Linked DNA regions of Sus scrofa. The protein of the gene in region 2 purifies or fractionates together with the protein of the main gene of each other region. This does not show direct contact. Links are inferred from orthologs where the notes say so. Each region holds a gene or a part of one and is shown on either strand. Other genes may lie near its edges.

The links.
Region 1: the proteins of MICALL2 (region 2) and RAB8A purify together in Homo sapiens (co-immunoprecipitation; 3 studies listed by BioGRID and IntAct, with this or other methods). This does not show direct contact. The link is inferred for Sus scrofa from reciprocal best matches to the Homo sapiens genes MICALL2 and RAB8A.

The regions. Positions count from the first base shown.
Region 1 is NC_010444.4:61,447,348-61,451,768, forward strand, and holds the start of RAB8A (ras-related protein Rab-8A), read right to left. Parts: upstream 3,005-4,421; 5' UTR 2,980-3,004; coding exon 2,856-2,979; intron 1-2,855. UniProt on the Homo sapiens protein: The small GTPases Rab are key regulators of intracellular membrane trafficking, from the formation of transport vesicles to their fusion with membranes.
Region 2 is NC_010445.4:961,031-964,832, forward strand, and holds part of MICALL2 (MICAL-like protein 2), read right to left. Parts: exon of another isoform or gene 3,454-3,802; intron 2,479-3,453; coding exon 2,430-2,478; intron 439-2,429; coding exon 297-438; intron 1-296. UniProt on the Homo sapiens protein: Effector of small Rab GTPases which is involved in junctional complexes assembly through the regulation of cell adhesion molecules transport to the plasma membrane and actin cytoskeleton reorganization.

The DNA.
Region 1 (4,421 bases), on a different chromosome or scaffold from region 2:
TCCTGGCTTGACCCCTTAGAACCCAGGATGGGGATGCTAATTCCATCTCTGTTCAGCTCAGAAGCTGTCCTAGGGATCACAGGGAATTTAAGTCTGCATTTAAATTCTGCCCACTAGAACTTAAGCTCCAGGAGGGTAGAGGCTCACACGTCTTAGTCATGGTTGCATCTTCAGTGACTAAGCAGGCAGGTGCTGTGTATGTATTTGCTAGAAGCTGATCACCCAGACTGGCACACACATCCTAACTACAGGCCCTGTTAGAGTTCTGCTTCCCCCGATTCATCCAAGTCATTCCTGCAACCCCTGTACTGAGGCGGGTGCCTGGCACGCAGTGGGCACTGTGGAAAGATGGTTGGATGCAAGAATAAAGAGCGATGGGATCTATGTGGTGCTGCACCATTTACTAAGCACTTTCAAGTACATCATCTGTCTCCCTGAAGGAATGAATGAACAAGGCCCAGAGGAGGAGATGGGGGCTGAGCCAGGCTAGGGAGAGCTGACTCTAGGAGCCACCGGGCCAAGTTCACACCACAAATGATCGATGGAGCTCTTGAGAACAGTCTTTGGCAAAACATAACCTGGGCACAAAATGAAGAGTCACTTAATCTCTGATCTATAAAGAAAATTCAGAGGTACGCTCAGTGCCGATAGAGAATAGCCTCTATGCATTAGGTTGTATTTCAGGACTAAGCTGCGCAGTGTTAACTCTTCCTAAAACATCCCCACTCCTGTGACAGATGGCATAGGGACATACAAAGTCAAAAGCTCTGTTCAATGAACAGAGCCCAAAGCATCACTCTGTCCTACCCTCCTCCTGGGGTTTATTAACACACCAAATTTAATTAGGAAGTGTAAACTTTATGAGGCCCAAGAGTTATGAGGCCATAACTTCAAGGTCAAAGGGAATTAAACTTTCCTAGAAGACAGAGGCCTGCAGGAAGTTTACAAATATAATGAGAATATCAGGGTAGGAGAGAGGGATTCTGGGTTCATGTGTCACATCCACCTCCTTAGATGACCTTGCCCAAATTACATCCTCATCTGGAAATGGAGGCCGGCCTTCTCAGAGCCCTAAAGGGCTAGCCTTGCTTTTGTGGTCAAGAATTTAAAACCCAACAAAAAAATTCAACCTCCGAATTGATCTCACTAGGAAGGTTCTGACTCTGGGAAACTGAAGTCTGGGTTGAGGGTGAGCTGCAGTCTACCAGGAGTTGATATCACTTCCTGATAGGTGGGGATGGAAGGGTTACCCCAAAATTTGACCTTGGAGTTAGGGAAGGGGAGGAATCAGAAACATCTGTGCCCAGGGAAGAATACTGTCATTATAAGAGACATTCTGCTTCCTTCCTCTGGCAGTGGTGACAACCCCCTTATCATTATACAGTTCTGATCCTCAACCATCCAGGGTACTGGCCAAGGCAAAGAACACTAGTCCTACGGCTCAGAGAGGCAAAGTGCTTGTTAAAGGACGAACAGCAGCTGGGAAACAGGCATGATGAGTTCTAGTCCAATTCTCTTTACATCTGGCACCTAAGTATCTTGCAAAGTGCAGCTCTTGGAGGCTGGCAAGGATGGAATTAGCAGCTCACTGTGGGGTTCAGGGAGATAACATACACTGGGGTAAAGCAACACCTACTCCCTAGTTTTTTTCTAACCCCTGGGCTTGGTGACCATTCTTCTGCTTCCCCATCCAGAGCAGGGCTGCAGAGCTTAGAGGCCACTCTGCCTGATGGGTGTTACTTCCCAGTCAAACCTTTTCATGCAGGCAATGGCCTTTTTTCTGGTGAGAAGTCAGCTCCCACTTTTTGTGGATGTCAGAACTGAGAAGCAACAGGTCAGTTCTGTTCAACCACAGTGTGGGCTGGCCCTGTGGGCAAGGCTGTTTTGCAAAGTGACAACTGGTGTCCTGGCCCTAGTGATAGGGAAGTTGGGGCTGTCTGTGGCAGTGGCTGATTTTGGTTTCTAAGCTGAAGCTTTTATCTGGCATCTCCTCAGGATGACAGGTCCCAGGGCAGACAGCTGTCACTTGCCATTTCTGTTACCCTCTAGTGGGATGGAAAGCTGGGCAAGGAAAGTCTCTGGACTCCCTCTCATCATTCTTTCCAGAAGAAATTCATCTCTAGGGGAAATAGGATCAGGGAGGGGGCTCAACCCCTGAATATTCCATTATAAAAGAGCAGGAGAGGTCTGGGTTGGAGTCCTGGCTTAGACATGGATCAGCTATGCTTGTCCTGGGGAGTGAGTGCTCACATCTCTCTGGGACGGTTGAGCCTTGAGTTTGGGGGGTCAAACACACCTGGGTACAAATACCATCCTTGCCACCAGTAGACTGTGTGACCTTGGGCAAGTACAGTCTCCCTGAGCCTCAAATGCCTCTTCTGTGAAAGTAACTCATAACAGCACTTGACACAGAGGACCAGGAAGTGTGATCATGCACGTAAAGCACCTGACACACAATAAAAGCTCAATAAAGTTAGATGTCACCTGTCACTGTCCTTTCCCCATGGACAACTCCACATTTCTACGTTTATAAGTCAAAGACCCCAAAGACTGCTTCGAGGGCCGATGCAAGAACAAGATGACAGGGCGCCAAGACTCTGTCCAGGACATACACTCCCTGACAAGTAGGCTGAGGATTGGGGCCTCAGTATTCCCATCTGCAAATTGGGTACCTGACCCTCACCCCCGCCCCATGGCCCAGGAACCCCCAAAGGGCGGTGCAGGCTACTGCTCCTTCCCGCTCCGGCCTTCTCGACCCTCTCAGATCTCGGGTCCATCCCGCTCAGCAGCTCCCTCAGTCCCAGCCCTCAGGGTGAGAGCCCGGCCTGGGCCTTCCGCGCTCCCGGCCCCACTACCTATGGTGGAGATGAAAGTGGAGTTGAAGGCGTCCTCGGAGAAGCGGAACAGGACACAGGTCTTCCCCACCCCCGAGTCCCCGATCAGCAGCAGCTTGAACAGGTAATCGTAGGTCTTCGCCATATTACACTCTCTCCCCGACGGGAAGTGCGGCCAGCGCCTCGCCACTGGCCCCTGGCCCAGTCCATCAGCGCCGATCCCGCCCCCCATTGGCTCCTGGCCCGCCGCGCGTCACCGCGGCCGACGCCCGCCCCCGCGCCCCGCCCGTCTCAGGAAGACGTGGGGAAGGGGCGAGCAGGGCGCAGAGCCGGAAGCGGCCTGAGGGCGCCGCTCATTGGCCGGCGCTCAGGACAGGGCGGACTGCGATTGGCCAGTGGTGAGGAGTCGAGGGGCTTCAAATGGGGACAAGGCTGGGGCATGGCATCTCTGTGTCCCCGCCTTCTTCCTCTGACTCTAGGGCGGCCACGCCCCCCGATGGGAGGGGGAGGGCGGGCAGCTGGGCCAACGGCTCCGCGCGCCCTCAAGCTGGGGCGGGGTCTGGGGAGCGTGCGCAAGCGCGCCGGGAAGGCCGTAGTGTGCCAGCAGAGGGCGCACGCGGGTGGTGGGGGTGTTCTCTGGCTCTTGCTGTTCCAGGCCGGAGCAAGTTCAATTAGCGTCGGGTCCAGCGCGGGAATGTGGCGTGGCGGTGGTGGTGCGGTCTGCAGGCTTCCGTGTCAGACCGGGCGGAGCCGAAGAGATAGGAGAGCAGAAGTACCGTCATAGTCGAAACGAGGCCCCCTCGAGACTTGCTCCGGGGCCTTGACGCTGGCCAGCGGATCTTCCTAGAGACACCCAGGCCTCAGCCACAAGCTGCGCCCCGAGGTCCGCAGGACTCCTCAGGATGCTCCCTTGGATCTATTTAGAGGTTGCCCAGGACTTGTCCCAGAGCCTCTCCCGCCGCGACCCAGTCAGCCGTCTGAGTTGCACCCTGGAGCCTTGGAACCCGCCGAGAGAGTTCGGATAGTGAGAATTAGAGGGAATACTAAAGAGCTTTTGGTTCTGTGCCTGCCAGTGTTGTCAGCACTTATAAAAAAATTTATAAAATATTTTGTCCACACCCCAACCCACCGAGGTAGGTATTATTGTGTGTGTTCACGCTTCCCCCCACCAAGTTTTACGGTGAGAAAACAAGACTGAGAGGTTAAATGACTTTCCCAGGCTCTTAACCAGATAAATTGGTTTTTGAACTCAAACCGAACAGCTTCAGAGGCTAAGGTCTTGATCAGATAGTTTTCTGCGTGGTAGGGATGAGCCACATCACTTGGGTGGACTCACCGCCATGTGTCACTCTGGGCTATCAGGCCTGGAGGCTTCCCAAGGATCTTGACAAAAGATGACTGCTGCCTCTCCTCACTGTCCCACTTCACATTCTTTGGCTAATCTGGCTCTGGTTAGGAAAAGCTTCAACCAACCAGAGGCAATGACCACCTGGCTGCATTCAGCCTCTGTGGCATTTGATACTATTGACCACCTCCTCTCACAGATCTTTTTCTTTGTACTCTTCCCATGTTATTTGCCTGCTTCTT
Region 2 (3,802 bases):
GTGCAGATGGCAAACCCAGGCCTGGGGAGGGGCAGGGGGAGCTGGTGCGTGCACCCAAGGGGCGGCAGGAGGCCTGGGGCTGGGACCCTGCTTGTCACACAGGACCGGGCCCTGGCTCCCCTCAGAGGAGGCGGCAGCCCTGGGCACCATGTGTGCTCCAGAGAGGTCCCCGCCTGCCTGACCCATCCCAGCGCGAACGCCCAGCAGCACTGGGTGCGGGCTGGGGGCTGGGCAGGGACCCCAGAGGGAGGGGCGCGTGCTGGGGGCTGGGGCGCGGGGCCGGGCAGCCCACTCACTGGGGGAGCGTCCGTGGAAGTAGTTATAGTACTGGGACACGTAGGTCAGGATGCTCAGGCGGTCGGGCACCCTCAGCGCCACCATGTCCTCGGCATCCAGCAGAGCCGGGATGCCCAGCTGCTCCTCAGCCACACGGAAGGCCTGGGGGGGGGCGGTCAGCAGGGTAGGAGGGGGACCCTTCCCCTCCCCCCTCCTCAGCCAGGCCACCAGCTCCTCCTGGGAGGGGCCCCGAGGCAACAGACCCGCTCGACGCCCAGAAAAGTCTGGGTTCAAGGTTCATGCTCTGCGTACTTGGCCTCAGTTTACCCGTCTGTACACAGGACTCACACCCCGGACACAGGGCTCGGGGAGGGTACCTGCGGGTACCTGGTAGCAGCAGCTGAGGCCGTGCACCAGTCCAGAGGGGCCCCAGCTACTTGTTCCCAGACTCCAGTGCCATGGCACCGCTGAGACCCCTCCATGGCCCCCACACCCCTGAGTCAGCCTGGACGCCCTGGCCAACATGGCCCTTATGTGCCCGGTTGGGGGCAGCTTTCTCCATGGCACGGGCCCTCCCCAAGCCAGCAGGTGACATGGGACCAGAGCTGGGGGGGGACCTGGAGGCTCAGACAGGGACATTCGCTGGACAGGGGAGGGGTTCCCCCAGCAGCCACCTCCTCTGCCAGGGGACTCTGCACATGGCGTGCTGGGCTCTTCCTCGCTCCCCTCCCCTCCCCCGCCAGCCTGGCCAGGCTCCTGCCTCTAACGCCAGGCTCCTGCCTCTAACGCCAGCCTCACCCGATTTTGCCCAAACCTCTCTAACCTCACCCTAAACTGCCACACCCTCCATGGAGCAGTGACAGGGACACCGCAATCTCTGTGTGTCCAAGATAAGGCTCCTGGGTGCCCAGACCTGCAGCCCTCAGCAGTGCCTGCCTCCACACCAGAAACATAGGCCTCCCATCGCTCTGACTCCAGAGGACATCCAGATGGGACTCCTTCCGCTGCCCCCCTTGTCACCCCCTCCTCCACTCTCTGCACAGACTCCCGGGAAGTGGTGGCAGCTGCCAGCAAAACACCCGAGCCTCCCTGCTCCTGTTCCAGCCTCCTCCCCCTCTGTTCCAGCCTCCTTCTGCTCTGTTCCAGCCTCCTCCCCTCTGTTCCAGCCTCCCCCCCTCTGTTCCAGGCTCCTCCCCCTCTATTCCAGCCTCCTTCTGCTGTTCCAGCCTTCTCCTCTCTGTTCCAGCCTCCTCCCCACTCTGTTCCAGCCTCCTTCTGCTCTGTTCCAGGCTCCTCTCTGCCTCTGTTCCCATCTCCTGCTCTGTCCCAGCTGTGGCCCTTACTGTTTCACCCCGCAGGCCCTCACCTTTGTCTTTAGCCAGCAAGGCTGGCCCTGTCCCCTTCTGAAGACGCTCACCACTCCCCGACACCCCACCTCTTCCCTGTGCTGCCTGTTCCTGCCACATCCTGTCTCAGGGTCAGGGCGGTCCGACGACCCTGTCACGGTGGATGTGACCTACTCCAAGCTGTCCACGTGCAGCTAGTGAGTGTCTGAAGCGTGGCCAGTGCAGCTGAGGCACTGAATATGTCATTTTATTTCATCTCAATTAAGTTAGATTTAAATTCAAATTGCCCGCGCCGAGTGGGGCTCCCTGGGCACGCAGATTTGACCTGCCAGCCGGAATGCCAGCTCCGGGCTGGGGGCATGCATGGACACGGGGGGCAGTGCACATGGGTGGCCGGGGCTGGAGGCTGCCTTTCCGGGCATCGGCCCACAGGGGTCACAGAGCTCATTGTGCAGCAGGAGACAAGCTGGCACAGAAAGGGGTTCCACAGCAGGACAGCCGAGCAGGATTCGAACCCAGGCCAGCCTGAGAGCAGACCCAAGCCAGGACCCACCCAGGGCCCTGCCCTCCCCACCCCTTCCCCGCCAAGAAAAAGGGGACCTGGAGGGCCCCACTACAAGATGGGGGCCATTCTGGGGAGCAGGGGTCACCTGGCCTGGACTGACTGCAGAGCCCAGAGGCGAGCTCCTGGCCTCCACGTGGCCACCTGCAGGTGGCAGCAGCGGCACGGGGAGGCCCCACCCACTCAGGTCCTGGGACTCTGGGGACCGCGCACCCCAGCTGGGACAGCAGGAAGGGGGCACTCACCAATTGGTTGTTTTCATAAATGTTTTCCTTCCTGAGAGCATTGAAGTTTCTGGAAAATGAAAATACAAGTGTTCAAAGCAGCTCAGCGTCCGGGGGGGGGGACCAGGAGGGCTCCCCGAATCCACCTTGTCCAGATGGGGAAACGGAGGCTGGGGAGGAATGAGGTCACACTGCAATCGAGACGAGGGCAGGGCTGGACACAGGCCACAGGCTCTGGGCACAGGGATGCCGCCAGCACCCCCGGTGACCTGGGCAGCGATGGCCACACAGGCTCCGGCTGCAGCCTTCATCCCTTGCCCGGCCGAGGCCCTGGCGGCGGGTGGGGGGGGTCCTGGGGAGCCCGCATCCCATGGGTGAGAGGCCCCATGGACGGAGCTCCCCCCTGCCCCCTGGGCAAGCAGGCTGGACCCCCTCCCGGCTCCCGTCACTTTATTTACCCAGTGCCTCCCGTGAACACTGCCACTCTCAGCTCTTTACAAATACAGACCCACACCTGTAGGTGCTGTCAACGCCCGCCTCTCATGGACGAGATGAGACACAGAGAGGCTCCCTGACCTGCCCGAGGTCACACAGCTGGAGGACTGGACCAGAGCCAGGCCACGGCCTCAGTGTCTGGGTGTGTGTGCCCACCGGGTGCCCAGCCTCCTCCCGAGGGAAAGACCCTCAAGGCTGGGAATGTTAGAACCCCAGCTCCCCCCACATTTGACCCCAAGGGTGCAGGGGCCTCTGCCCAGCCTGGACGGCAGGCCTTGCCAGGTGGGTCCCAGACCCACACATCACAGCCAGAAGGATGCTCGAGCAGAAAACACAGCCGGACCCCAGCAGGCGGCCCGGCCCGGCCCGAACGCACGTCTCCAGGGCCAGTTAAATATGGGTTCGCCTGTCTGTCTGTCCTCATGCTTTGCCACTTGGGGTGAGACGCGTGGTTCCAGAAGCCTCGTGGCACAGGAGCGAGCTCGGCTGCCAGCCGCATCCCCACTCACCCACCCAGGCCCCGCTGTCTGACCCGGGCGCGCCCTCTCACCTCTCGGGGCCTCAGCGCAGTGTCCCCGTCTAAGCTGGTGACCCAAGCTTCACACGGTGAATCTGAGGGCGCCGGCTCAAGGCCAGGCAGGTCTCAACCAGAGCAGGGAGCCAAGACCCTGTGGCCAGTGGGGTGGCCTGGCTCCCAGCCCTGACCCGGGGACAGCCCAGGGAGGCCAATTACGCAGACGAGGAAACTGAGGCATGAGGCAGCGGCCGGCCCTGGGCCACCTCCCTTCTCGGGGGCCCCGTCGGCCTCCAGCAGCCTTTCATCAACCTGCTGAGCGCTCCTGGAAACCTCGCATTTCCGCCTGGACCACCTCGCAGGTAACGTGTTCCAGATGCTGAGA